Xenopus tropicalis: one gene and its partners. The main gene of each other region encodes a partner of the protein of the gene in region 3 in a complex. Links are inferred from orthologs where the notes say so. Each region holds a gene or a part of one and is shown on either strand. Other genes may lie near its edges. The genes, in order: med13l, med12, med26, med21, ccnc, med18 and med8.

Evidence for each region.
Region 1: med26 (region 3) and med13l share a complex: the UniProt entries of both Homo sapiens proteins name them as parts of the mediator complex. The link is inferred for Xenopus tropicalis from reciprocal best matches to the Homo sapiens genes MED26 and MED13L.
Region 2: med26 (region 3) and med12 share a complex: the UniProt entries of both Homo sapiens proteins name them as parts of the mediator complex. The link is inferred for Xenopus tropicalis from reciprocal best matches to the Homo sapiens genes MED26 and MED12.
Region 4: the proteins of med26 (region 3) and med21 are in contact, whole or in part, in a cryo-EM structure (PDB 7EMF), measured with the Homo sapiens proteins. The link is inferred for Xenopus tropicalis from reciprocal best matches to the Homo sapiens genes MED26 and MED21. Residues at the interface, in NP_004822.2 of Homo sapiens: Ser481, Arg482, Asn483, Glu484, Ile485, Ser488, Tyr489, Ser491, Arg492, Ser495, Leu496, Ser498, Ser499, Ser500, Leu528, His529, Ser535, Pro537, Thr538, Asp539, Leu540, Pro541, Gln549, Asp551, Leu552, Ile555, Gln556, Trp560, Gly562, Val563; in NP_004255.2 of Homo sapiens: Ala2, Asp3, Arg4, Leu5, Gln7, Asp10, Ser14, Gln18, Asn21, Gly24, Val25, Gln28, Cys29, Tyr54, Leu57, Phe58, Leu61, Arg64, Thr65, Lys67, Asp68, Val71, Leu72, Asp74, Ser75, Leu76, Pro77, Ser78, Glu79, Glu80.
Region 5: med26 (region 3) and ccnc share a complex: the UniProt entries of both Homo sapiens proteins name them as parts of the mediator complex. The link is inferred for Xenopus tropicalis from reciprocal best matches to the Homo sapiens genes MED26 and CCNC.
Region 6: med26 (region 3) and med18 share a complex: the UniProt entries of both Homo sapiens proteins name them as parts of the mediator complex. The link is inferred for Xenopus tropicalis from reciprocal best matches to the Homo sapiens genes MED26 and MED18.
Region 7: med26 (region 3) and med8 share a complex: the UniProt entries of both Homo sapiens proteins name them as parts of the mediator complex. The link is inferred for Xenopus tropicalis from reciprocal best matches to the Homo sapiens genes MED26 and MED8.

The regions. Positions count from the first base shown.
Region 1 is NC_030677.2:145,408,500-145,411,999, forward strand, and holds part of med13l (mediator of RNA polymerase II transcription subunit 13-like), read left to right. Parts: intron 1-1,147; coding exon 1,148-1,484; intron 1,485-2,809; coding exon 2,810-3,029; intron 3,030-3,500. UniProt on the Homo sapiens protein: Component of the Mediator complex, a coactivator involved in the regulated transcription of nearly all RNA polymerase II-dependent genes.
Region 2 is NC_030684.2:44,426,791-44,429,808, reverse strand, and holds the end of med12 (mediator of RNA polymerase II transcription subunit 12), read right to left. Parts: coding exon 2,886-3,018; intron 2,715-2,885; coding exon 2,633-2,714; intron 2,473-2,632; coding exon 2,429-2,472; 3' UTR 501-2,428; downstream 1-500. UniProt on the Homo sapiens protein: Component of the Mediator complex, a coactivator involved in the regulated transcription of nearly all RNA polymerase II-dependent genes.
Region 3 is NC_030677.2:112,239,190-112,243,339, reverse strand, and holds the start of med26 (mediator of RNA polymerase II transcription subunit 26), read right to left. Parts: upstream 2,801-4,150; 5' UTR 2,656-2,800; coding exon 2,584-2,655; intron 1-2,583. UniProt on the Homo sapiens protein: Component of the Mediator complex, a coactivator involved in the regulated transcription of nearly all RNA polymerase II-dependent genes.
Region 4 is NC_030679.2:3,066,067-3,070,178, reverse strand, and holds the start of med21 (mediator of RNA polymerase II transcription subunit 21), read right to left. Parts: upstream 2,801-4,112; 5' UTR 2,775-2,800; coding exon 2,733-2,774; intron 1,181-2,732; coding exon 1,066-1,180; intron 1-1,065. UniProt on the Homo sapiens protein: Component of the Mediator complex, a coactivator involved in the regulated transcription of nearly all RNA polymerase II-dependent genes.
Region 5 is NC_030681.2:82,038,208-82,041,707, reverse strand, and holds part of ccnc (cyclin-C), read right to left. Parts: intron 1,021-3,500; coding exon 985-1,020; intron 68-984; coding exon 1-67. UniProt on the Homo sapiens protein: Component of the Mediator complex, a coactivator involved in regulated gene transcription of nearly all RNA polymerase II-dependent genes.
Region 6 is NC_030678.2:78,266,422-78,270,550, reverse strand, and holds the start of med18 (mediator of RNA polymerase II transcription subunit 18), read right to left. Parts: upstream 2,801-4,129; 5' UTR 2,647-2,800; exon of another isoform or gene 2,641-2,646; intron 1,692-2,640; 5' UTR 1,675-1,691; coding exon 1,602-1,674; intron 1-1,601. UniProt on the Homo sapiens protein: Component of the Mediator complex, a coactivator involved in the regulated transcription of nearly all RNA polymerase II-dependent genes.
Region 7 is NC_030680.2:88,535,262-88,539,204, reverse strand, and holds the start of med8 (mediator of RNA polymerase II transcription subunit 8), read left to right. Parts: upstream 1-1,143; 5' UTR 1,144-1,202; coding exon 1,203-1,208; intron 1,209-3,943. Other genes in the region: KICSTOR complex protein SZT2, read right to left, coding at 967-990. UniProt on the Homo sapiens protein: Component of the Mediator complex, a coactivator involved in the regulated transcription of nearly all RNA polymerase II-dependent genes.

The DNA of each region.
Region 1 (3,500 bases), about 33 Mb from region 3:
GTGAGCCAGATAACTTCCCATCTGCATACTGCACCAGATTTAGTTTTTGTCCATTATTCTTTATTTTTTTGATAAAACAGTTTGTGAGGTTCTCTCGCTGTTTTCCAACCCACTGTAAAAACCAGCTTGATCTTTGTTTTAATAATGGTCCAGGTTATTTATTTTTTTAGAGGTGTGGGGCTGTAAAAACCAGCTTGATCTTTGTTTTAATAATGGTCCAGGTTATTTATTTTTTTTTAGAGGTGTGGGGCAGAGGCTGGTTTCAGGCAATTTGAGTGCCATGTTATATATAGGCAACAAAAACCTGACAAGCACTTGTGAGGTGATTCAAATACAATTACAGTTTTGGGACCGGTTATCCAGAATGCTTGGGACCTGGGGTTTTCAGCATAAGGGGTCTTTCTGTAACTTAGATTTGTACTAAAAAAATAATTTAAACATTATTTAAACCCACCAATATGGATTAATAATTAGTCGCTATCAAGTACAAGGTACTGTACATTAAAAATTTTTAACTATTTGCTTAAAATGGAGTCTATGGGAGACTGCCTTCCCGTAAATCTGAGCTTTCTGAATAACAGGTTTCCAGATAACTCTGATCCCATACCTGCACCTTGTAACAGTATATGTGTTTGTTAATATAATGCCACAGAATACCGATCACCTTTTTTCTCTAATATTTAGAAAGGATATTTCTGACCTTTTGCCGCTCACCATCAGCAGGTGATGGAGGGGAAAGGGGGTTGAGTTTGACTAAAGGTGTGAACCACTCTCACTCCACCATGTGATAATGTAAAAAAAATTTTTGTCGGTGGGCTGACTCCTTAACATTATGCCATTTGTTATACTATTGTGAACTAGCACATTAAGCAAAAGTGGACCGTTTGTAGTTTGTTAAAATAAAGTACTGTGGGCAAATTCATTGCTTCTTTTTCAGCGTTTTGGATAATGGGTTTCTGAATAATAGATCCCATAGTTGTAATTTGTAGTTACTATAACTCTTTTAATAAACACGAGAGGAAAATAAAAAGTCACAATTGCTGTTTATTATATGCGCTGTACAAAAGGGATTAGCTGGAACCTTACATTGATGTTATGACATGGATGTGTAAGTTTTGCTAATGCCCATTGTCTTTTTCTGTTTTAGCTCCTTACTTATCCACATTGCAACTAGACAGCAGCCTGTTATTACCTCCTAAGAACCAGCCACCTACGGTACAAACCAGCTCAAGCCCAGCTGTGCCGTCTTGTCCTACTGGTGTTCTTTTTAACACCACTCCTAATGGCACAAGTACTACTCCTTTACCACCACCACCTCTATCCTCCTCCACATCTCTTCCTGCTGGAAACAGCACAGTACCCACTGGGTTCAATAACTGCCCATCACAGAACACTTCAAGTATTGTGGAGCGACCATTAGGAAACCAGACCACAGGAGACCCAGAGCCTAGCCAGCAGTCCATGCAGCAAGAGACCCCAGAAAAGTAAGTACAGATGCTGTATTAAAATGAAATTAAATATTTGACTTCTTGCCCAACACAACAGCAGTTATATGAAAAACCTGGTAGTCAGTTCTTAGAAGGGGATATGGAAAACAAAAAAAGAAGCTTTGTAAGAACTGTAAAAATGTACTTTTGAAACTGGGTGAGAGAACACTGACATTTCCACTGCAGTCAGTAAGTCAGACAATTCACTCCTGTACCTAGAGATTCATACACATTAGGCATCACTAAATTATTGCTGACATATATATGCATGTTTATGTGTCTTCACTTTGGGCCTGATTAGCAGTAGCAGCAAAAAGCTTTTAAGGCTTTCTATGCAGTATCCCACATGACTCCAAAGACAGTAGCATGTTTCAGCAGAAATTGCCCTTATCCTTTCCCGCTTAGATTACTGCAATCTCCTACTAACTTGCCTCCCAGACTCCCACCTCTCTCCCCTGCAATCAATCTTAAACTCTGCTGCCAGGATCCTTCTGCTCTCTCCAAAGAGGGAACCTGTTCAGCCTCACTTAAGCTCTCTTGCATGGCTGCCTGTTAAGCAAAGGATTGCTTACAAAATCCTAACATTCAAAGCCCTTCACTCCTTTGCTCCTCGCTACATTTCTTCACTGGTCTCCCTGCATGTTCCTGGTCGTCACCTCCGCTCCTCTCAGAGCCTCCGTCTTTTTACACCATTCACACCCACTGCGCTCTCTCGTCTTAAACCTTTCTGTCTTGCTGCTCCTTACCTCTGGAACTCTATCCCTGAATCCCTCCATAGGGAACTCTCACCCACTCTCTTTAAGAAAAAGCTCAGCTGTTACCTTCTGGAGCACTAAAACATTTTGCCTAGTCCTGCGCTTAAGGGAAAATGCCCATACCTGGTGCACTCTTACCTTCCAATTTGTGCTTGTATGTTACCCAACCACTTAGATTGTAAGCTCTACGGGGCAGGTACCTCCTTCCTACTGTGTCTCATACCACATGGCACTTATTCCCTGTGCATTTATATATTTATTGTATTTATTTATTATATCACTTGTCCTCCTTCTGTGTAATTCTGTGTATTGTAAGATTGTACAGCGCTGCGTACCCTTTTGGGTCTTTATAAATAAAGTTATACATACATACATGTATTCGTTTTTAGTATTTTTGTATTGCTTATTTTTTCTTTTATATGCACTGTAAATAGACTTTTTTAATAATAATATTAGTAAAATCCTGTCAAATATTTTTATGATTCAAAGGATATTTTGCTTTGTTTAATTTAGAAGGATTTTTAAACATATAATATACAGCTTGTATTGTCTCTTTTACATTAACAGTGCCACTGAGCGGGAGAAAATTGGCATTCCCACAGAACCAGAACCAGCTGGAGCACTCAGTTCTTGTCCAACAGTAGTTATATACATGGTGGATCCATTTACATACACAGTGGATGAAGACTGCCACCCTGGGAACTACTGGATGCTTGGCCTGATCAGATGTTTTACTGACATGCTGGAGAGTTTACCAGAGCCACTTCGATCAGCTTGCATACTTCAGGTAAACATTGTTTGTTTTTTATGTGTGTTACCATAACCTTTATGTGCTTTTCACATAGAGCTTTTATAAGACTTTTCTCAAGACTTGAATCGCGCTTGCTTGCAGTGACACTTATAATATAGGGGGGTGGTGGCAAAGAAATGATTATTATTTAAAAGATCTGTATACAGTGGCACCCATATTGTACGGCAACTTTGTCGACATTTTACTATTTTCCCAGGCAACTGTCAGCAGACATAGACACGCAGATGTGTCGAGTAAAACTGTTCGTATTGTACTCTACTGCTCATGCATGAGTCTAAGTTTGTGCCAGGGACACCTGGGAATAGCAAGTAAAATGGTGGAGCTTTGCTACTTTTTTCCCTGGGCTGGTGCTTCTCTTATTTTTCCTAAAAAGAGCACTAGCCTGGGGAAAAAACTTACTGACTGAATTCACTTGGGGGTCTACCATAAATGTTTAGCATCCTTGTA
Region 2 (3,018 bases), on a different chromosome or scaffold from region 3:
AAACTACTAGAACCATACCAGATGAAAGGGAGTCTGGGAAGATCTCAAAGTACTTAAGGGTGTATACACCATTAGGCCCTGGGCCTTATTCACATTAGCTTTACATATTAAACTACCACATCCTTTGGCAGCCACTAATTATTTATTGGAGCTGAGCCATCTGTACTACTACAGAGTTGGTTCTGTAATTGGCTGCCTCTTCTATTGTATCTGCTGATGAAAATGCTTCAGTGCATGAAAACATTCTTATATCCACAAATGGCATGATTTTAGAAAGTAAAAGAAAACCAGAGGTATGATACTTAGCATGGATGCCCTGTAGCTACTGAGAGATTAATGGTTTGTTACTCTTTTGAAATATATCTGCAATGAGAAAATAATCAAGTAATGTGTAAGGCAGGACATCCTCAGAAAATTCATTAACGTGAACAGAGTGGCAAACATGAGCTTCACAAATCCTTCCTAGATATGAAGACGACATATAATGAAAGTAGAGATAGCCTGAGATATGTTTCCTTTATTGCTCCTGAGAAATGACTGCATAAAGCAAAATATTAGCTTGACATATAATGATGCTGCATGGTACACAGTAACAGAAGGCCAATTAATATATGTTGGTGAAAGAGGTTATGGCAGAATGGCATTGGAATGGACACAATGACTGCATTGTTATTGCGAGTTTGAACAAGGATGATGATGGAAAGCAACAGAAAATTAACCTTGAGGGCAATAGCATGTTAATGGGTCTCAGGTACAAGGACACAATAGCAAGGTCTTTTGGATAGCAAACCAAACATCTACATTAGAGCAGTAATACTGGGCTCTCAGGACAAAGTAATTTCTAACTGGAGATTAATTTTGTGCATATAAATCCAAACTGGGGGCTGGAAACATAACAGGAGGCCCAGCCTGAAGGCTAGTATGGCTAGGATTTATGGTCAGTGCTTATTTGCCATTTTAGAAAGACTTGAAAGTCCAGGATGAAGGCCAGTTTAATCCCAGGGAGGGGGGGGGGTTATTATAACCACTTACCTGATACCCCAGGTTGGTGCCTCCTGTTAGAAGAAAGCTGCACCAGCCCAGGGTACTTCTGAGCATGCACCACAGAGCGATATTTATCCCTCTTCTCTCTGGTCAGGCTAAAGCCTAACTGTAAGCAAAAAGCGGTTTTTTGTTTTTTACAGTACTGGGCAGTGCCAGCCCGGGGCCACTGAAGAAGTGGAATGCAATCACTCAGTGGTGCTCACTCAAAACTACTAGCAGGAGCCCTGGGGGCTGGGGTTATGATTTTATAATCCCTGGAGGGTGCCTATTGATTCCCCACCCCCTCCCCCCAGTGATTTAACCTTTTCTTCTCCTTTAAGGTGAGATTTGGAGTAAAGGCTTATTTATCTGCTTGGATACCCCATCAAGGAGACTGGAAAAATGAATGTTCCTATTCATCTTTAACCTCATGATGAGCTAAGGAGGCCTTGGCCTGATGCTGGTCCTCAAACGAGTACTTGAATCTAAAAAACACAGCTTTACTGTTTGTATTGTCCACAGTCCAGTTATGATGTCGGCATTTTTTCTTTATGCAGTTGCAACACTGAATTACACACAGAATACATCTGTACACAGACCTCAAACTGAAATCTAAAGCTTATGTCTGTGATACTCTAGACTTGTGAGTACCGCACAGAGACCAGTGCACACTACAGATACACATGGAGCGTTATCACACCTGACCTATAAGAAAAAAACCTCATGTTCTGGGTGTATAAGACAGAGGTATACTACACACTATAGTGTATGAGGAATGACTAGAAGTGCAGTTGCAATCTGTAGCTGGCAAGAAAGTGTCACTCATATACAGAATGCACAAGTCAGTCACATGATGAGAAAACGCCAAATGTAACATTGTAAAAGCCTATGGCTTTCTTTTGCAGTAAAGGTTTCTGCTAGCCACAGTAGGACCAGATACCACCTGCTGGCACAAATCACTCAGTACATACTAGACATGGTCAGAGATCAGATTCAGCCCTCAGAGGTATCTGTTTGATAGCTGAGATTGCACAGTCATATAAATACTTTACAAAATGACAATTTAATCATTTGGTTAACAAAATATTAAAAACATTTTAAAAGATAAATGTTCACAAGACATAAGAACCCCCATAATTCACTAGGGGGGAGGATACAAGATATACACGTCCCTCGTTCTGTGACTTGGACATATGCAATATTCAGATCCACAATTAATTCCTTTTTTTTTTTACGTCACAGAAAATCTGGTAACACCGATCACTTCTAACAGGAACCAGAAACGCATTCCGCTCCTTGAATTAAATAAAATCTTCTAAAGTGCTGCCTTTCTGTCTCATCAATCTGGAGAGAGCCGAGAGAATTCATCCAAAAGAGGTACAAAATCACAGGGAGGAACGACCTTTCAGTAGCGGCCAAACGGATTGGAGTTTTGTTGTGGCTGTGTGCCTGGAAAAGAAGCAGCATTAATGGGTACAGATAAAGACAGACTTTGTGGGTGTTTGTTTCTTCACTGGCTTTGGAACTGCAATGGCGGCAAGGTAAGTTCTATAGTGAGGGTTGCCCATTGTGTGTAGATTATGGTGCCTCAGCTTGGAGATTTACTTACTGGACAGTTGCTGCTGGAGCTGGCGGACCAGAGCTGCCGTTTGCTGTTGTTGCTGGGTCTGCTGTAAACCCTGTCTCTGAAACTGAGAGAGAGATTTGTGAGGAAAAAGGTTAAACTAAAAATGTGTAAAACTTAGATCTGTGAGGAAAGACAGGAAGCCAATGGGAATAAAGTCGCCAGTGAAGTTCAGTAATTCATGCAAGTACCTCCATTCAGTGGACACAGACAGCACAGAGCCAACCCCCACACTTACTTGCAGTGTCTGCATGCCAAGCCCTGGTGGCTGTCCTTGCGTTTGTGGCTGTGGGACTGTGGGGACCTGCTGGGGAGGTGGTTGTGGAGGGGCTTGTTGCTGAGGTGGTGCCTGATTCTGCTGCTGCTGTTGC
Region 3 (4,150 bases):
GCTCCTAAACTAAAAATGTAATAACTAAAGAACTACAAATAAAAAAAAAAAATTAAGACCAATTGCAAATTGTCTCAGAATATCACTCTACATCATATTAAAAGTTAACTTAACTGTGAAAAACCCCTTTAAGAAACAGCATAAAAGCATAACCCATACCATAGGTATGAACAGGTCACCTAGGTGCCTCATAAGCTATAAGGAAAAAAAAAAGTAAGCCATAAGCAATGCCTCTATACAGAAAAAAATCCAAACACAAAACAGCATGCTTGTTCTCAAAAAGCATGAACAAGTAACATCTCATCTTTCAGTTATTCTATGGGTTTAAAATAAAAAAAAAAAACAAAAAAAACTCTTAACTGTGACAGTTTATAATAATTTTATGGTGTAGTGTACAGTGTCTTTCGGATTAACAGATTCTTCATTTAGAACCCGTTATTCTAAAACATGTTGTGCACTACACAATAACATCATATGAGATTCATAAGGAGTTCTCCAGTGAAAATGCAAAAACATTAAAAGGGTCAAAGTAGCAACCAGGGTTAAAAATTGCTGAACAATTCTGCAGGCTAACAAACTGATTACAATAGGGCTACTACTATACCTAAAGCCAAAGGTGTAGCGATTTACTGATTTTTTTCCCGAACACTCCCAAAAGTGGTTACTGAAAGAAAGGAACAACACTTACAAGTACCTTCCTCTAATGCATCTATCAAAGAGCCCTAGCTCTGTACTGCTCAGCACCTTTAGTTGTTATTTTTCACACCTGTGTAATACAGCGCAATAAATATTTAACTATTTGTGAGATATTAAAAAATTACAAATCAATTCTAATATAAAGCATACCCAACCTAAACAATATATGCTTTTCTGGAAACCAGGATCCTTTATCACAGTTGCCTAAATCTATTTTTACATGTGCTTTTGTTTACCTACAGCTTAAAAATTCCCATGCAGACACAGGCCTTTCAAAAGTACAGCTACCAAATACAGACTTTCAGAAGGTATGTGTCAGCATTAAAGACACAAATTAATTCAGTATGTACATACCCATGTGTCCCTCACCCCAAAATAACTTTGAGATGCTTCTGGCATTAAAAGGTCCAAATCCTTTCTAAATGTACAAGCTGTATATCTCCAGTGATACAGGAAATACACATGTATTTAAAGCTATAACTGAAAGTAGGTTTTCAGCAATAGATTATTATCAATTTAATAGTAGTGTTCACTCTTTATAGTAAAGGCTTCAGTAAAAAAAACCCTCAAACTTCAGAAGTTGTTTACAAAGAGATTATGCTTTATAGATACATGTTAATAATGGTTACAAATCTTATCCTGCAATGTACTTCAAACTTTTGCTACATAAGTGCTTTGCAGAATTAAACTCTATAGGTGCCGACGCATCCTGCCAATGCTAAAATAAGTATCAAGAGAAGATAGAAAGTGCAGTAGATTATATACTGTAAACAACAGTGAAAGCTTTTACAAATTTGAGACATACCAATAAATTGTATTGCTGACTGCAAATTACTTGGCCTTCTAATTTGTGGGAGTTGTTACACCTCAAATATAACAGCACATACAACAACAGGTCTGTATATAATGCAGTTATAAATGCCATACACTTCAGTCAAAGATAAATCGGTCACATAAGGACCCATGACAAATCTCTAAATGAAATACAATAAATAGCATTCTGAACTTTCCCTGTTCTGTTTCTTTGAGAACAGATCTCTCAGTTTAACAAGCACACCGCCTGCCCACACCAGAGTAATGCCAACAACATGAGATAAATGCACCCTGTCCCCACAAGCACACATCTGCACTGCCAGGAACATAAGAATATGCCAAAGGAGTGTGTTTTGGCAGTCCCACCGACTCGGGCATCGCAAGCCTAGCCAGCAGTCTGACATGTGCCGGTGCCTACAAGGGCAGTCTGCTAACTTAAGGCCGCGACTAGGCCCTATCCCCGACCTCGCCTACAAAGTAAGGACGGATGTGCTCGAATATACAGAGTCGGATTAAGAACGCGAGATGGCCTAAAACAAGCGCCAGGGGTCCCTGCTACAAAGGACTGCAACCCCAGATAAACGCCGGGACCCATAATCCTCCATTCCCCAGTTGCCCACTTCCTGCTCAGCTCTCAGGCTTTATACTCGTCTCTCACCTACCCACAGAGAAGGGGCTCTCAACTAGCTGTTCCTATCGAGCTCTGCCTTACCTATAGCACTCCACTGTGGGCTTCTCAGCTCCCGGCATGGTCAGTGCCACTGCCTCCACCACCCTAAGGCTCTTGCACGTTCTGGCTCCAGGGGACTCGGTCTTTCCCAGCCTCATGTGACCCTCAACTAATAACCTGGAGCCAAAAAGTGCATTCCAGAGTAACGACACCTCTCTTTTCCCCAGCCCTTAGCCACCAACCACCCATAATCAAGGGATAGTGTCACAGCAGCCTCCAGTCACTCTCCGTCAGCCCTTTCCCGGTCGTCCCTAGTCTAGCTTCTCACTGCTGGTTCAGAGGGTTTCATCAAGTGCCGAAACCCCGTGTTGCGCTCTTTCCACTCCCTGTCCCCCCTGACTCACGTTGCTTTGCGTATCGATGGCCTGCAGCAGCCTCTCCCTGATCTCCCGCGGGGTTACCGGAGCGGCTGTCATGGCCTCAGTCCGGGGATCACTGCGGAGGGCGGCGCGGCATGTTCCCTGGGAGGAAGGAACACGAGTTCCCGGGCGCAGGGAGAGCAGCGAAGAAGCGAGAAAGCCGGAGACTCCCAGACGCGTCTCTCCCGATGGAGTCGAGCGACCGGGAGTCCCGAGGCACGCCGGGAAGTCCGCCGCTGCACGCTTTGTGACGTGACGGTAGCGGCGTCCTGGCGTCACAGTCCCCCTAGGTAGCACGTACGTCACGCACGAACGTCTCTCATCTTCCCCCTCAGTAGGAAGTGTCAGACACGACTTAAAGCTGTCATTCGTCTTCGGTATCCATGGAGAGAGGGGGCAGCCCGTGCGCCTGCTAGCCTTTAGGCACCTGAGTTGTTACTAGGCAAGATGCATCACTTAAAATAAACACTGTTGTCTACCCTGCAACTTTTGTGCAGTAGACTATAAGCCTAGCTGGAAGGAGGGGCTTATTTAACTACATCACCTCAGTCAGCGACACTGAAACAGAGCGACCCGTGGGTCGTTATGAACTACTATGGAACTCTTTGTGGAATTCTGGGAGTTGTAGTTCATAAGTCATACGAGTAAGTTTGCAGGAAAAAGAATCGAACGTTTGTTTAGAAAAGTTAGCTAGAAGTGCTACACATATTGCCATATATTCAAGTGAAATCAGGTTACACTTATTTCAGCCCTGCAACCTGCATATGTTAGAATTGTCTGGGTTTTGTTTTATTTAGTTTGTCTTGTAACCTTATCTCAGAGACAAAGGTTAGATTCAGAAAATATGGAGAGGCAGACGTTCTACGTAGCCCTCTAAAACATATTCATTACCAGTTTTTTCATTCTCTACTGAGTTCCAAACTGTCTCTGGAACCTATATCAGTACAAGAAATATTAGTAGCTGCACACAAGCTAAATATCACCATGTAGAGTGCCATGCATTGCCAGTTGTTGTGTAAAGCTGTATAACACTGGACAGCAGGGAGCTGGAAATGGGTTCTCTGAAATGATGAATCATCTTCACATATGGCAGTCAAGCAGTCATTTCTGGGGTGGTGGGTTCCAGACAACTTAGTTTGGTGTAGGACTAGTGATCAGGGGATAATTATTGTTTTGGGTTAGTATTCTTGGTTTCAACAAGGAGACATTAGCGCTATAGTGTACAATGGTATTCGTGGATATCGTTGATGCACAGGTGGTCAAAATAAAATTGGTAAGCTTCCCATCTGCATAAAACTTGGTTTTTGTGTTTGGGTCTTAAAAACTTATTGATGTATGAATATTGAAAAAATGCAATATATTAAGGTAGAACTCACCAACAGTTTCTTGAGGTCCGGGTGCTCAAGCCCCAGACCTTCAGCTCAGGGGAAGTGATAGACACACTTGGATTTCAAATAAGGCTGGCATAAGACTGGACTGTTGAAGCAGATGGTGATGCAGTTAAAATGATGAATTTATGTAGTAACAAGACCTCTCAAAAGGACACGTCTTA
Region 4 (4,112 bases), on a different chromosome or scaffold from region 3:
TGAACTTCCCCTACAGAGGCCCATAGCAACAGACTGGGAAACGAGTATGAAGGCACTAAAGCAGAACAATCGATATAATGTTTTGATATAAATATAGGGGGGAGTGTATTTCCTGGTACCCATGTGACTGTCTCTGCTTCCTGTGCACGGGGGAGTGTATTTCCCGGTACCCATGTGACTGTCTCTGCTTCCTGTGCACGGGGGAGTGTATTTCCTGGTACCCATGTGACTGTCTCTGCTTCCTGTGCACGGGGGAGTGTATTTCCTGGTACCCATGTGACTGTCTCTGCTTCCTGTGCACGGGGGAGTGTATTTCCTGGTACCCGTGTGACTGTCTCTGCTTCCTGTGCACGGGGGAATGTGTTTCCCGGTACCCATGTGACTGTCTCTGCTTCCTGTGCACGGGGGAGTGTATTTCCTGGTACCCATGTGACTGTCTCTGCTTCCTGTGCACGGGGGAATGTGTTTCCCGGTACCCATGTGACTGTCTCTGCTTCCTGTGCACGGGGGAGTGTATTTCCTGGTACCCGTGTGACTGTCTCTGCTTCCTGTGCACGGGGGAGTGTATTTCCTGGTACCCATGTGACTGTCTCTGCTTCCTGTGCACGGGGGAGTGTATTTCCTGGTACCCGTGTGACTGTCTCTGCTTCCTGTGCACGGGGGAATGTGTTTCCCGGTACCCATGTGACTGTCTCTGCTTCCTGTGCACGGGGGAGTGTATTTCCCGGTACCCATGTGACTGTCTCTGCTTCCTTTGCACGGGGGAGTGTATTTCCCGGTACCTGTGTGACTGTCTCTGCTTCCTTTGCACGGGGGAGTGTATTTCCTGGTACCCGTGTGACTGTCTCTGCTTCCTGTGCACGGGGGAGTGTATTTCCCGGTACTCCTACCCCGTGTCTATAAACGCATTGGCTGATACACACAGAGCAGTGACAGACAGTTTCACACCCTTTGTGTGCTGGTCTGGTAGTCAGTGCTGGGGGTGTGTCAGTGCGCAGTGGGCGTGGTTACAATGGCATTTGGGTGGGTAACGGGGCAGTTTGGGGGCCACTCGCAGTCTCTCACCTTCAGTGGGGTTGGGCGGTTGGTCCTTGTTGATGCCCGTCTGGATGTTGCTGAAGGAGGCGGGGGGAGCGCACTGCTGGAGGACCCCGATGGCATTGCAGAACTGATCGGCCAGCTGGAGAGACAAAGGGGAGGGGTTACAACTCCATTCATCCAATGCCCCCCTGGCACTGAGGGAGTTAATAGGCTGGTATTAAACTGACCTGCTACATTGTGTCAGGAGTCAGAACCTGGGGGTGGAGCTGGGCACTGCTGCCAATAGCAAGTACTTATCTGTACCGGGATATATATATAGGGATTTACGGGGCTATATATGGGATATATGGGGCTATATATAGGGATATACGGGGCTATATATAGGGATATACGGGGCTATATATAGGGATATACGGGGCTATATATAGGGATATACGGGGATATATATGGGATATACGGGGATATATATGGGATATACGGGGATATATATAGGGATATACGGGGATATATATGGGATATACGGGGATATATGGGATATACGGGGATATATGGGATATACGGGGATATATATGGGATATACGGGGATATATGGGATATACGGGGATATATATGGGATATACGGGGATATATATGGGATATACGGGGATATATATGGGATATACGGGGATATATATATGGGATATACGGGGATATATATATGGGATATACGGGGATATATATGGGATATACGGGGATATATATGGGATATACGGGGATATATGGGATATACGGGGATATATGGGATATACGGGGATATATATGGGATATACGGGGATATATATGGGATATACGGGGATATATGGGATATACGGGGATATATGGGATATACGGGGATATATATGGGATATACGGGGATATATATAGGGATATACGGGGATATATATGGGATATACGGGGATATATGGGATATACGGGGATATATGGGATATACGGGGATATATGGGATATACGGGGATATATGGGATATACGGGGATATATATAGGGATATACGGGGATATATATAGGGATATACAGGGGGATATATAGGATATACAGGGGGATGTGGGATATACGGGGATATATATGGGATATACAGGGGGATGTGGGATATACGGGGCTATATATGGGATATACGGGGATATATAGGATGTACGGGGATATATATGGGATATACAGGGGGATATATGGGATATACGGGGATATATATGGGATATACAGGGGGATATATAGGATGTACGGGGATATATATGGGATATACAGGGGGATATATAGGATGTACGGGGATATATATGGGATATACAGGGATATATATGGGATATACAGGGGGATATATATAGGGATATACGGGGATATATATGGGATATACAGGGGGATATATGGGATATACGGGGATATATATGGGATATACAGGGATATATATGGGATATACGGGGATATATATGGGATGGGGCGGCGATATAATCCGCATCAGCTGAGGGAACCCTCATAGACATGGGGTTCTGGGTAATAAGATCCATTGGACACAGTGTGGGGGCTGCGAGCAATGAATGGAATAAACCATTAGTTACAATGTGACTATAAAGCCGAGATGGGACCCAACTGCGGGCAGCGAGAGGATGTATTTCCCTTCCCCACAAACCCCACAAACCCCACACACAGATAAAGCGCTCACCGAATTCAGCGCGTCCTGGAGCTGCGTCAGCCGGTCCGCCATCTTTCCAGCTGGCAAAGCCGAACCAGCCGCCCATACCTTCAGCGCCGCTTCCTATTGGCTAACTGGTACAATAAAGGTTTCTATTGGCTAAGGGTCACTGCGGCGTTTTCTCAATAGGAGGAACGAGAAACGCCTATTTCTATTGGCCAGCCTCAGTAGAGGCGGGGTTGTAACGGCGGAAAGGAGACTGCGCATGTGTACTTCTACCTACACTGGACGTTCCCTGCCAACTTGCTAAATAGCGTTCAGTGTGATACCTCTTTTGGTCGCTAGAGGGCGATGCTGCCTATTGGACAATTGTATTCAGGTTTTATATTCCATTTATGATGGAAGGGGGGGGGGGGGCCATAATCCTCCATGGGCTACACTTTTGCTGTGGAGTTGCTGCTACAGAGTCGCCAGTCTGTCTATGTTGTTTCAGGATAAATAGAATCAAGAAGAATTTAAAGAGACAGTGTTATTGGTGCCTGTGGGATTGCTGGGATTGCTCTCTAACCCTGATCCTGTTACTGGGGGGTCTCAGAGAGCGAGTAAATAAAGATAATTCCATAGAGATACAGTGGCCCTGGGGCCCCTGGTTAGCACATAAGGGCCCTAAGAAATTGGGACCCAAATTGAATATGACTTTCCCTTATTATCTGTATTGAAAAGCCTGTGTGGGCAGTGCCTGCTTAGACTTTCTTTTTTGTTATTGTGTGCCCAGAACATTCCTTCTCTGTATATTTGTATTTATACATATGGGTAGGAGGTGCCATAGTGTTTCCCTTAGACAGTACAGTATGGGGGTACAGCTTATTGTGTGCCCAGAACATTCCTTCTCTGTATATTTGTATTTATACATATGGGTAGGAGGTGCCATAGTGTTTCCCTTAGACAGTACAGTATGGGGGTACAGCTTATTGTGTGCCCAGAACATTCCTTCTCTGTATATTTGTATTTATACATATGGGTAGGGGGTGCCATAGTGTTTCCCTTAGACAGTACAGTATGGGGGTACAGCTTATTGTGTGCCCAGAACATTCCTTCTCTGTATATTTGTATTTATACATATGGGTAGGGGGTGCCATAGTGTTTCCCTTAGACAGTACAGTATGGGGGTACAGCTTATTGTGTGCCCAGAACATTCCCTCTCTGTATATTTGTATTTATACATATGGGTAGGGGGTGCCATAGTGTTTCCCTTAGACAGTACAGTATGGGGGTACAGCTTATTGTGTGCCCAGAACATTCCCTCTCTGTATATTTGTATTTATACATATGGGTAGGGGGTGCCATGGTGTTTCCCTTAGACAGTACAGTATGGGGGTACAGCTTATTGTGTGCCCAGAACATTCCTTC
Region 5 (3,500 bases), on a different chromosome or scaffold from region 3:
CCTGTCCCATGTCCTGCACGTACTGAAGCAAGGGTCTATAGGGATGATATACTATCAAGCAACAATCCTGTAAACAAGGGATAAAATATTAGCCCAATGTGCAATGTTAATGTTTACTTCATGTAATCATATGCAATTCACAAACACCTCCCTGAATCCATTGTGTGCTCCAGATGCACAAGTAAAGACTAGTAATGACTGTTCCATCTGTGCACTGAAAGACTTAACAGTCTTTACTGTATTAAAAAATATTTTTTATTTTTTTTTTTAAAGTGTAACGTAAATCAAGAAACAGACACTGCCTTTTCTTTTTTTAAAAATAACAACCCACACACTATATCATGCAAAAAAACAGAAGTATTAGGGGCTGATTTACTAAGACACAAATTCGAATTGGAAAAATTCCAATTGGAAAACGAACATTTTGCGACTTTTTCGTATTTTTTGCGATTTTTTCGGCGACTTTACGGAAATTATCACGACTTTTTCCTTACCAATACGATTTGCGCGAAAAAACGCGAGTTTTTCGTAGCCATTCCGAAAGTTGCGCAAAATCTTGCGATTTTTTCGTAGCGGTAAAACTTGCGCGAAAAGTTGCGCCTTTTCCGTAGCGTTAAAACTTAAAAGGCGCGATATTTCGCGCAAGTTTTAACACTACGAAAAAATTGCGACTTTTCGCGCAAGTTTTAACGCTACGAAAAATCGCAAGATTTTGCGCAACTTTCGGAATGTCTACGAAAAACTCGCGTTTTTTCGCACAAATCGTATTGGTAAAGAAAAAGTCGCGAAAATGTTCCGAAAAAAATCGCAAAATACCGATCATTACGAAAAAAACGCAATCGGACGCATTTGGCCAGTTCGTGGGTTAGTAAATGTGCCCCTTAGTGTTTTACTTGCCTAAACTATACTTTCAGAATAAAACCAAAACAGAGGAGCAAGAAAGCAGACCTATATTTTTATGGACAATTAAACCACTTTACTCACCATTAATTCTAATAGGTAGAATTCACATTCCAATATCTGCAAAAAACAAAATCATTCAGATATTAATCAATGAATACAAAATAATGCCCCTAACCAGGTAGATATCCACGAGCTGTGCATAAACAGATCCTGAGGTTAGGGTGACTTGCAGTCAGATGTGACCCTACTGAGATGCTGCTTGCTATATCTTTACAGTTCAAGTAGGCTGAAAGACAAAAGATTGTCTTAAAGGAACAGTAACATCAAAAAATTAAAGTGTTTTAAAGTAATTAAAATATAATGTGCTGTTGCTCTGCAAAGAAACTGGTGTTTTTGCTACAGAAAAGCTACAATATGAATAAGCTGCTGTGTAGCCATGGGGGCACCCATTCAAGCTGGAAAAAAGGAGAAAAGGCACAGGTTACATAGCAGATAACTAGTAGATAAGCCCCATATAATGGGGATTTATCTGTTATCTGCTAAGTAACCTGTGCCTTTTCTCCTTTGAATGGCTGCCCCCATGGCTACACAGCAGCTAACTTATACAAACTATAGTAGTCTTTCTGAGGCAAACACACCAGTTGTAGCAATGCAGGGCAACAGTACATTATATTGTTATTACTTTTATACACTTTCATTTTTTGGTGTTACTGTTCCTTTAAATTCTGTCATTGGAGGGAATTTGATTTCTGCTGTCCTCAGAAAGATCTGCATTCAAATCTGCTTTTGCATCTCATTAACTTTAATGGGAAAGGTGCTGCCAGAAACATGTCTTGGCAAGTGGCTACCATGTACAAATTGATTTTCATATTTCTGAGCAATCCCACCTCATATGGCACAAGAGTGTCACAAACACAGCTTGCCATTCAACTGAATACAAAGCAGCTGCTGCATACTGTTGATAAAACATAAACCAGAAGTTTTATATCTGCCCCTAGAATTGGGGTTTACACAATGCATAGTGACATTTAGATAAATAACAGGCAACAAGTAAAATTGCAAATTAGAAAAATGTATTTCATTACAAACCAGGCTAGTATAATATATTCATGAAGACATGATATGTAACTGGCAGTCCATAAAAAGTCAATCCCACGGTTAATTCTATCAATATTATAATGGATAAAGGCAGAATACACAAACGGTCATGGCTGACCCATTAAGGTTATACAAAAAGGTTCTGGGGCAAAGCAAAGCTAGAAAGGGCAGGAAATACCATCTATTAGGTGCATTTGAATGAGACAGTAGGTAGAAAAAGCAGCTTGTCCATTTGGCTCGCAGCCATTACTTTCCACAACTATTTAGTTAATCGAATAATTTATGTAAGGAATGGGGTATCAGGGATGGACAATGTGGCAACACATTACAAACTGCAAGAATCCTTTAATGTCCCCCAAAAGCTCATACTTGTGAAAAGCCTCTAGTAAAATAATCCTAGCAAAAAGCTAACTATTCCACCTCATTATGTATTCCTTATGCACAAACCATTATTGCAATCTAAATTTTATAATAGGATTTAAAAGTGTTAAAAGCTATGGAGTGCTCTACTGGCAAAGCTATTTCAAAACTGTAACACATTATGGAAAAGCATGCCTGTACATCTAAAACATTTCACAAGCAGCTACAAAAAGCATTCTGAAAAGGCTTGGAAATACAAAGTTATCATACATACATTTTCTTATTCAGACCAAATCATTTTGATGATTTCAGTAACAGATACAAAGATACATTACAGACAAAAATATAACTGGGCATGTATTAATGTTTGTGTAGAAATAACTCCAAAGTGTTCTCTCAAACCCAAATGAATAAGAAATGTTAGTACAGGTATGGGAAACCCATTATCCAGACAGCTCCAAATCACGGAAAGCCCGTCTCCCATAGACTCCATTTTAATCAAATAATTCAGATTTTTAAGATTGTATTTGATATAGTTAATCCTTATTGGATGCAAATTAATCCTATTGGGTTTAATGAATGTTTTATTGTTTTTTTTAGTAGACTTAAGGTATTGAGACCCAAATCACGGAAAGACCCCTTATCTGGAATACCCTTGGTCCCGAGCATTCTGGATAATGGGTCCTATACCTGTAGTATGTTTAAAAATGTACATTATTTGATTAATTTGGAGTGTTGTGTGTGTTATTGCTGCCCAAGTGGGTACAGCAGTTACTGAAAACAAAGGTTCACAATCTTACCACACAAATAATTAACTTTGAATTATTCTCCTCAATTAAAGAGCAAGCATTATTTTTCACTCATATGTTTAATTAGGTTCTCATGATCTAGTTTTAGTACTAGCACGAAAAGCAGATCACATTTTAGTTCATATGTATGCACGCATATATGGAAATTTCAAAACGATTCACACATTTGCAAGTCCAGTGTACATCATATCTTGTCTTATTTTTAATTTAGTGGCTCTTGGTGGTGAATAGAAGCTCTAAATCACCGTCATATTGGATTACTGGGGGCAAGTATAGAGGAAGGTCCCTGCCAACTCACTGCTGGCATTATTGGAAGGCTCAAAGCAACTG
Region 6 (4,129 bases), on a different chromosome or scaffold from region 3:
TTGAATGGCTGCTCCCATGGCTACACAGCAGCTTATTTATATAAACTATAGGAGCGTTCTGTAGCAAATACACCGGTTTTACCAGCGCAGGGCAACAGTACATTACATTTCAATTACTTTAAAACACTTTCATATTTTGGTGTTACTGTTCCTTTAAGCAACAAACTCCTTGCAGTACACATATTAGAAGCAGCAAGGCTTCTTTTAGCTCAAAAATGGAAAACCGATCTTATTCCCTCAATGCTGGAACTAAAAAACTTTATCAACCTCTCACAAACCCTTGAATATCACAATGCAATGGGACTCATGGAAGAACTTTACTGAGGCTGATATCCAGGAATTATAGCTAATAATTTATATTATTTGCTCTTCATATTTTTTTTTCTTTCTTCTTTCTCCTTTCTCTTTCCCCTGTTCTCTTCCTTTTCTTTCTTCCTACTTCACTTCCTTCTCTCTCTATGCTCTCTCTTCCTGTGATTCACGTACAGACACATTCAGTATTTGAGATACATATAGATATAATGCAAATCTTGAGAGTTAAACTTTTAGATGCAAAAAAATTGTCAATTAAAAAAGAAAAAAATTAAGGAATACAACCAATAACCAATACAAGAGGTAAAACAGGGTCCTGCTCAAAAGAGTTTACTGTAAAGTCATAGGATTTTATCAGTGCATGTCAAGGCACCAGTGGTTACCACTGGTGCCTTTCAGCACAGATGCCATGAGTTTGATTTTTATCTAGGCACTATCTAACAGGAATATCTATGCATGTCTGCATGTTTTTATTTTTCTCGAAAAACATACAGATAAACCAAATTTTAATTTAATCAAACCTTTGTTGTGTGAAGTTGATTGAGACTAGTGTTGCACAGACCAGCCTAAAATGTCTGGACCCAATGGCTGGGCATGATCGGGCTGGTGCAACACTTTTCTTGTTCTAGTCCTGACTCTACCCATGTACCACCCTGTGATGTCAGCATGTTGCAGCACTCCACTAGCTGGCTACCATCCTATTTATATCTTTATTCTGCCAAACCCCTCCACTCCAGTGATGCCAGGCATGTGTGGGTAAGGCATCACTAATTACGACCCTATAATAGCAGCTCCAATGGTGAGCAGAGGCTTTTGTAAATGACTAATAATTAGTGCTTCATCAGGTTGGCATTATATAAACATAATAAACAGAAAATAAATGAACTGCAGGACTGGCATTACTTGGGGCTAAAAAGAAATGGAATGATATGCCGAGACAGAAGGCTATTTTCTGTAAACGTGACCAAATACTATTTACATTTTTTGATAGCTATAAAATTATATACAGAACACCAGGATCTTCTGCATAGCTGTATGCGTGTGTCACACTTGGGGGTAAGGGCGGGGCACCAGGGCTTGTGCCGGCTGAGGCAGGGAAGACCGGGCCGTGACGTGACCAAATGCTATTTACATTTTTTGACAGCTATAAAATTATATACAGTGACTACTAGAACCATGTTTTCGTATACCTTGCTAAACAAACAGGGGCCTAAACAGACTTTTTGGTTAGAGGGGACAAACTAATACCATTAATACAGTAACAGTACAGTTTGTTAGGCTGTTCTTACCTTGCAGTAAGTACTCCATCATGTTAATAGTTCCTCCAGATACAGGCATTGTTGTGACTGGGGGAGCCTCCATTGCAAAATGTTAGTTCTCTAAATAAACAAAACAAATATATTATACACAATATTCATATGTTTACAATTGTAGTCAAGACAAGGCTGAATCTCCACTAATACTGCACTGCTTATGTTCTACTAGAACCCCCCTCCAGCCTGAACTTGTCCTGAATAAAAACAGAAACAATTGCATTCACTTTGCCAGTACAATGCTTCAGATTATTTTCCTACTTTCCTAGGTATGGTTTAATTTAGGGGTGCACCTAATTCAGGATTTGGTGAAGATTCTGCCTTTTTCAGCAGGGTTCAGCCAAATCCAAGCTTCAGGCCAAACTATATCCAAATCCTTAAAATCAGGTTACTTTTGCCTAATCTTTCACAAAGAGTTCAACCCCGGTGATTCATCCTTTCCTTCTCCTTTAACAATACCTGACATAGCACTATGTGCACAAGCCTCACATAGACATAAATGGGGGTCATCCCACTTTTAGATCTGTTAAGTAGAGTACTACCAGGCTAGCAAAATGTTGTTTTATTCCTGGGATGTTGCTCCCAGTGGCCTCAAAGGTGTTTATTTTTGAATTCCTGGCTTGGAGGCAAGTTATGGTTAAAAAAACAGGTGCACTGCCAAACAGAGCCTCAAATTAGCCAGTCCACATAGGGCCTACCAAATAGCCAATCACAGCCCATATTTGGCACCCCATGAACATTCACATGCGTGTGTTCCTCCCTAACTCTTTTTACCTTTCTATGTGGTTCATGCATAATAAGGTTTGGGGATCCCAACGTTATTCCAAAGTTATTAAGCAGGAAGTAAAACAAAGACTGTAAGGCCAGTCATTTCCTACTGAAAAGACAGCAATCCTAGGTGTTTTGTGTGTACATTTTTATGTAATAACTGTATATGCAGAGCTGTGTTTTCTTTTTACAATTCATTAACAATAAAGACACAGAGGTACAAACACGGCAGCTGATAAATACATACACTTACTAAAACAAAGTGCCCGACAAAATTTTGTAAATAAGTGAATGGAACCGGGATGCGACGGGATCAATTACTTCATTTAGAGCACAGCCAGCAAGCTCAAGCAGCTAATAAGTTAAGTTCCGGTGCCTAAGTGCACGGCTAACCCGCCATAAAACAACTCTCCCTCAAGTCCTCAGGAGGCTGGCTCCAGAACACCAGGAGCTTTTGCATTTGCGTACTGCGTGCGTGTGACGCACTTGGGGTGAGGGCGGGGCACCAGGGTGCCTGCTGAGGCACGGAAGACTGGGCCGTGACGTAGCACGCTTGTATGTGCCGTAAAGGAGAGGACGCTCGAAATAGAAGGTATTAACGCAGTCGTGGGGGGAGGGGGGTATTTTGCCCCTTATTTCGTAGGAAGCCAATACGATCTGCCAAAACCAAAAATTCCCCTACTGGTGGGTGATTAGATTACTGAAAATTCAGGACCACGTCTAATAAATACATGTTGCAGGGCAGCACTGATTGCATTTAAAATCAATACAGCCCTGCTAGCTGGATTTTTTAGACATGTCCCTAAATTTAAAGTAATCGGGCCACCCTACTACTGGCAACCATATATCTTAGTACAAATCATAGATCTTTACTTGCTCTTAAACCTGTCTTGGCGCAATTACAAATATGTGATAACATTGGTTAATGCTAGCACTGGTGGCTTAATTTTGACTCAATTATAACTTGCAAAAAATATGCAAGTCTGTCCACTTCTTGCTCAGAACAGATGACAATGGTAAAGCTTGAATACTGATTTTTGTCTCTTCAGGACCTGCCCTGTTTGACTCGGACAGCTCACTTTTTGGGAGGACTGTTTGGGGCAAAACTCCCTGCCCAGTTTTTCAAATTAGGGAAACAGGGCAAGACTCTCTTAGACTGACAGTTGCCAGTGGCCGATCACCCGTCATAACCCCACCCCTGACTTGATTGACCATGCCTCCATCACTCACCTGATTTATTGAGAAATTCCACCAAAACCATACTAGTCCCGCCCATCAGTTCCACTTCCTGCTGGCTGAATTCTCTGGATGAGCTGGGGAGCCGGCGGCCCTCCGTACACTACACTGTAGGATAGGAACCAATCAGCAGCTAGGCTGACCTGATAGGGAACTGAAGCCTGTCTTTGCTTGTGTGAGTGCAGGGTTGTGATTGGCTCTCCCCCTCCTACTGTGCTTCTGGAAGGGACCATTAGGACACGCCCACTCTTCATTTCACACTGGACGGAGAAGTGATACAATCTATAGGGAGCTCCAATAAAGGGGCCATTTTTACAGATAGGATTAATTTTTAGCACAAAGTGAAACCAGCACCTTATATTATTTATAATTGCCTACAAAATAAGTGTTTTTCTCATTTATCCAATATGTCTCCTTTAAAGGCACATATATTCATTGCTACAGAGCTGTGGTCACCTTTGGCTTTTCGAAACCCCCAAAACGTAATATACAACAATTCT
Region 7 (3,943 bases), on a different chromosome or scaffold from region 3:
CAGCGATTTGCCAAAATTGTTGAAGTTGCATTGAGAGGAAACTTCGCTGATTTTGGCGCCGCATATGCCATCCCATCAGCGATTTACATTCTAGCCAGTGGGAAGGCATATCGGGGAGATTTGTCATGCAGCGACTAATCTCCCCGTCTGTCACAGCCCTTAAACTGCAGATTTAGGCCCTTCAGACTGATTCGGCAGCTCAGCCATGGGGCCTTCCATTGGGCCTACCCAACTGATATCTCCCAGAAAATCCACCAGACATTGATAGTCAGGTTTGATTCAAGGACTGCGTCAGCTGATTGCCTGTGGCCAATCAACTGGATTAGCCCAATATCACTCACCTTAGCTGGGCATATTGGGGGAAAGATACGCTGGTTTGACAACCTTGGCAAACAAGCAGATTTTATGGCGTATAGCCGGCTTTACTTTGATTTCCACAGCAAAAAAAAATGATCAAATGTTGGTAAAATGCTTCCACATGAGTTGTATATATAAACATGCATGTGTTATCTGCCTTAGTATTTGCATGACACAATACAGATATTTCATTAAGAGCATAGGAAGTTCGGCAAAACATCCATTTGGTTCATAAGAAACTTAAGGGTCGCACATCTCAAGTGGGGACAAATTGCCTGCTCCAAGAGCAAGCAGAAGCCACACAACAGGATGTCCTGAGACAACATATGACTGATTTCTCCAAACTACAATAAAAACTCTGCTTTTCTCGGAACAGCAGCTCTATGCATGTTCCCATAGCTTGGTGCAGTGACTTATAGTGTAACTGCTAGCAAGCCACAGTTTAATAATCCCTAGGATGTTCGGAATCAGCCAAAGGGGGCTTACTCAGGTACAGACGTGTAATGTGTGGCCGTCACTTTAAGGAAGGAGTGGCTACAACAGACCGGCTACAAATAGCGGCGTATACTTTCGCATGTACTTAATATGTACACAATCCCCTCTTTGTACCTCTGTATCTCCTTTTTCTGCCATGTCCCCAGAAGTTTCCCCCCACCCCTGTCTTCGGGTCTGGGGGGCGGATAGGCATTCGAGACTGGAGTACACAAGTCCTACCCCCTCTGACCCGGAATTACTCTTTTTTTTCCAGAGGCGAGCTCTTACCCGGAAGTGCTCCGTCTGAACGTGGAAGAAGTGACCGGAATCTTTATAGCCCTAAGGAGAGGGATTTGGCGGAAAACGTGAAAATGCAGGTAAGATTGACATAAGACGTGTTTCATTAATGTTTATGTTAGTGCAAAGGCGGAGTGGAATTGTTTTCGCTAATTTGTATGTAAATATTTAGTAGCTGTTCTTATCAAATAACGCTACTCCGTCCGTAAAGTAGACCTTTTGTGTCTGCAATGAGTAGTACAACTGACATTTAGGGGCTGATTTACTAACCCACGAATTCGAATCCGAATTGGAAAAATTCCGATTGGAAAACGAACATTTTGCAACTTTTTCGTATTTTTTGCGGTTTTTTTCGGCGCCTTTACGACTTTTCGGAAATTGTCGCGACTTTTTCGTTACCAATACGATTTGCGAGTTTTTCGTAGCCATTACGATGCGCTCGTATCTTGTCGCGACTTTTTCGTATTGAGCGCTCGGAAGCGGCGGCCGAAACTTTCAGACTTAGCATGATTTTGGAAGCCTCCCATAGGACTCAATGGCTCCCTGCAGCTCCAATCTGGCCCATACTGAAGCTTGAATGAATCCGAACGCTACGAAAAAATCGCAACATTTTGCGCAACTTTCGGAATGGCTACAAAAAAAGCGCGACTTTTCGCGTAAGTTTTAACGCTACGAAAAAATCGCCAGATTTTGCGCAACATTCGGAATGGCAATGAAAAAGTTGCGATAATTTTCCGAAAAATCGCCAAATACCGATCATTACGAAAAAAACGCAATCGGACGCATTCGGCCCGTTCATGGGAAAGTAAATGTGCCCCTTAGTATTTTACAGAAAGATATAGTCTGTTATTTGGTGGAGAAGGCAGTGATCCTGAAATTACATTTGAAATCCAGTCACTTATCAAATCATGTCACTTTCACCTAAGAAATAGTTCCAAAATACAATCATTGATCACCCAAGATGCTGCCAAAATTCTTATTCACTCTCTTATAATATCTCGCCTGGACTACTGGAACTCTCTGCTAATTTCACTAAATTCACTCTGTTCTTTTGCAATTCCACTGTAGAACTACAAATCTATGGCAGCTATTTAAAAATGCACTAACAATCCAACTGATGCAACACCTTCTCCTGCTTATAATAATTTAAAAAAAAAACCTTAGATCCTTTCTACACTCCTGTTGCTTTCAATAATTAAGAGTGCAAACTACCATATAATATTCTTTTTGGATGGGTGCTTCACAGCTTAAACATTTGCCAGAGGTTAAAAAAGGCATAAAAACAAAGGTTAAAAAAAGGTTTATTCATACGAAAAAGATATGGTCCCCATGAACTACATGGACTGAAAGCCAACACATTCAACAATTCAACTAGACTTAAAAATGGACAATCCCAGAAAATAAACCCAGACATCAGGCTCAGAACAAAAGGAAAAATAAATTTATAATAATGATTAGGCGAGAGTCCAACCTTATCCTCCTCCCACCCCCTATACTGCTGTTATGAATTGGACCCATTTCTTTGTTACTCTCCCAGTTCTCATGCAATTTCACTGTCAAATTTGCAGCAGACCTATGGTAGATATGGAAATGTGTACATATTCTTTCTCTTAGTCTGCTCATTTCTACTTCTTCTAACAGAAATTTATCACTAACAGCATCAAACTGACATCTAATTTCATTCAGTTTAATTTTCACTTCTCTTTTTCTTCTGACATGCTGACTGCTGTTACCTATACAGGTATGGGACCCATTATCCAGAATGCTTGGGACCTGGGGTTTTCCGGATAGGGGGTCTTTCCGTAATTTGAATCTCCTACCTTAAGTCTACTAAAAAAATTATTTAAACAGTAATTAAACCCAGTAGGATTGTTTTGCCTCCAATACGGATTAATTATATCTTAGTTGGAATCAAGTAAAAGGTACAGTTTGTTTTATTACAGAGAAAAAGGAATTATGTGAATTATTTGATTACAATGTAGTCTATGGGAGATGGGCTTTCCATAATTCTGAACTTTCTGGATAATGGGTTTCTGGATAAGGGTCCGATACCTGTACCAACAATCTATTACATTGTTGCGCTTCAGTACTTTTCGCATTGGGCCATCAACTATTTGAGTCAGTCCACCAAATTTCACTTAAGGTCTGTGTCAGAAGTTGCCATTAATTTGCACCAAATATTGCAAAATTGCACAAATTAATTTTCCTGCTCTGCTGCTTTCCATTACTTATAACAATAACCAATCACATGGACAATCTTTAATACTACTGCTGCCATTAAGCTTACATCCTTCTGCAAAGTTAGTGGTAGACATATGGCAGCTTACATAAGAAGTTCTTAATTATGATTAATATGGACAGTAAAACTGCCATAAACATTTTTTGCAATTGCATCTTCTTTTCTGCTGATTCCCAGCACATGTGCTGCTGTCCATTACTGAGTTTAGATGCTGACTCAATATTCTGTATATAGAGAATATAAATGTCAAGATATAAGGGTAATAGTAATACCCTTATATTACTACATGGCAGCTCTGAAACCAGTGCAGCTAACAACAGAATTTAATAATCAGCCCTGCAGGCAAGTTTGCACAACTTCAAAAAAAACAAAGCAATGCATAGGCCTTTCCACCAGCAATTCACTTTATTGCTGGTGGAAAGGCTTTTTGGGCAGATTAGTTGCAGTAGCAGAGATTTATCGCGGATGACTAATCTCCCCGTGGGCCAATAACCTTAGGATGAAGGCCCACGGGGAGATTAGTTGCCTGAGGTTAAATCTCCTGCAGGAAACTTCATGCAACTTTGGAAAATTAAG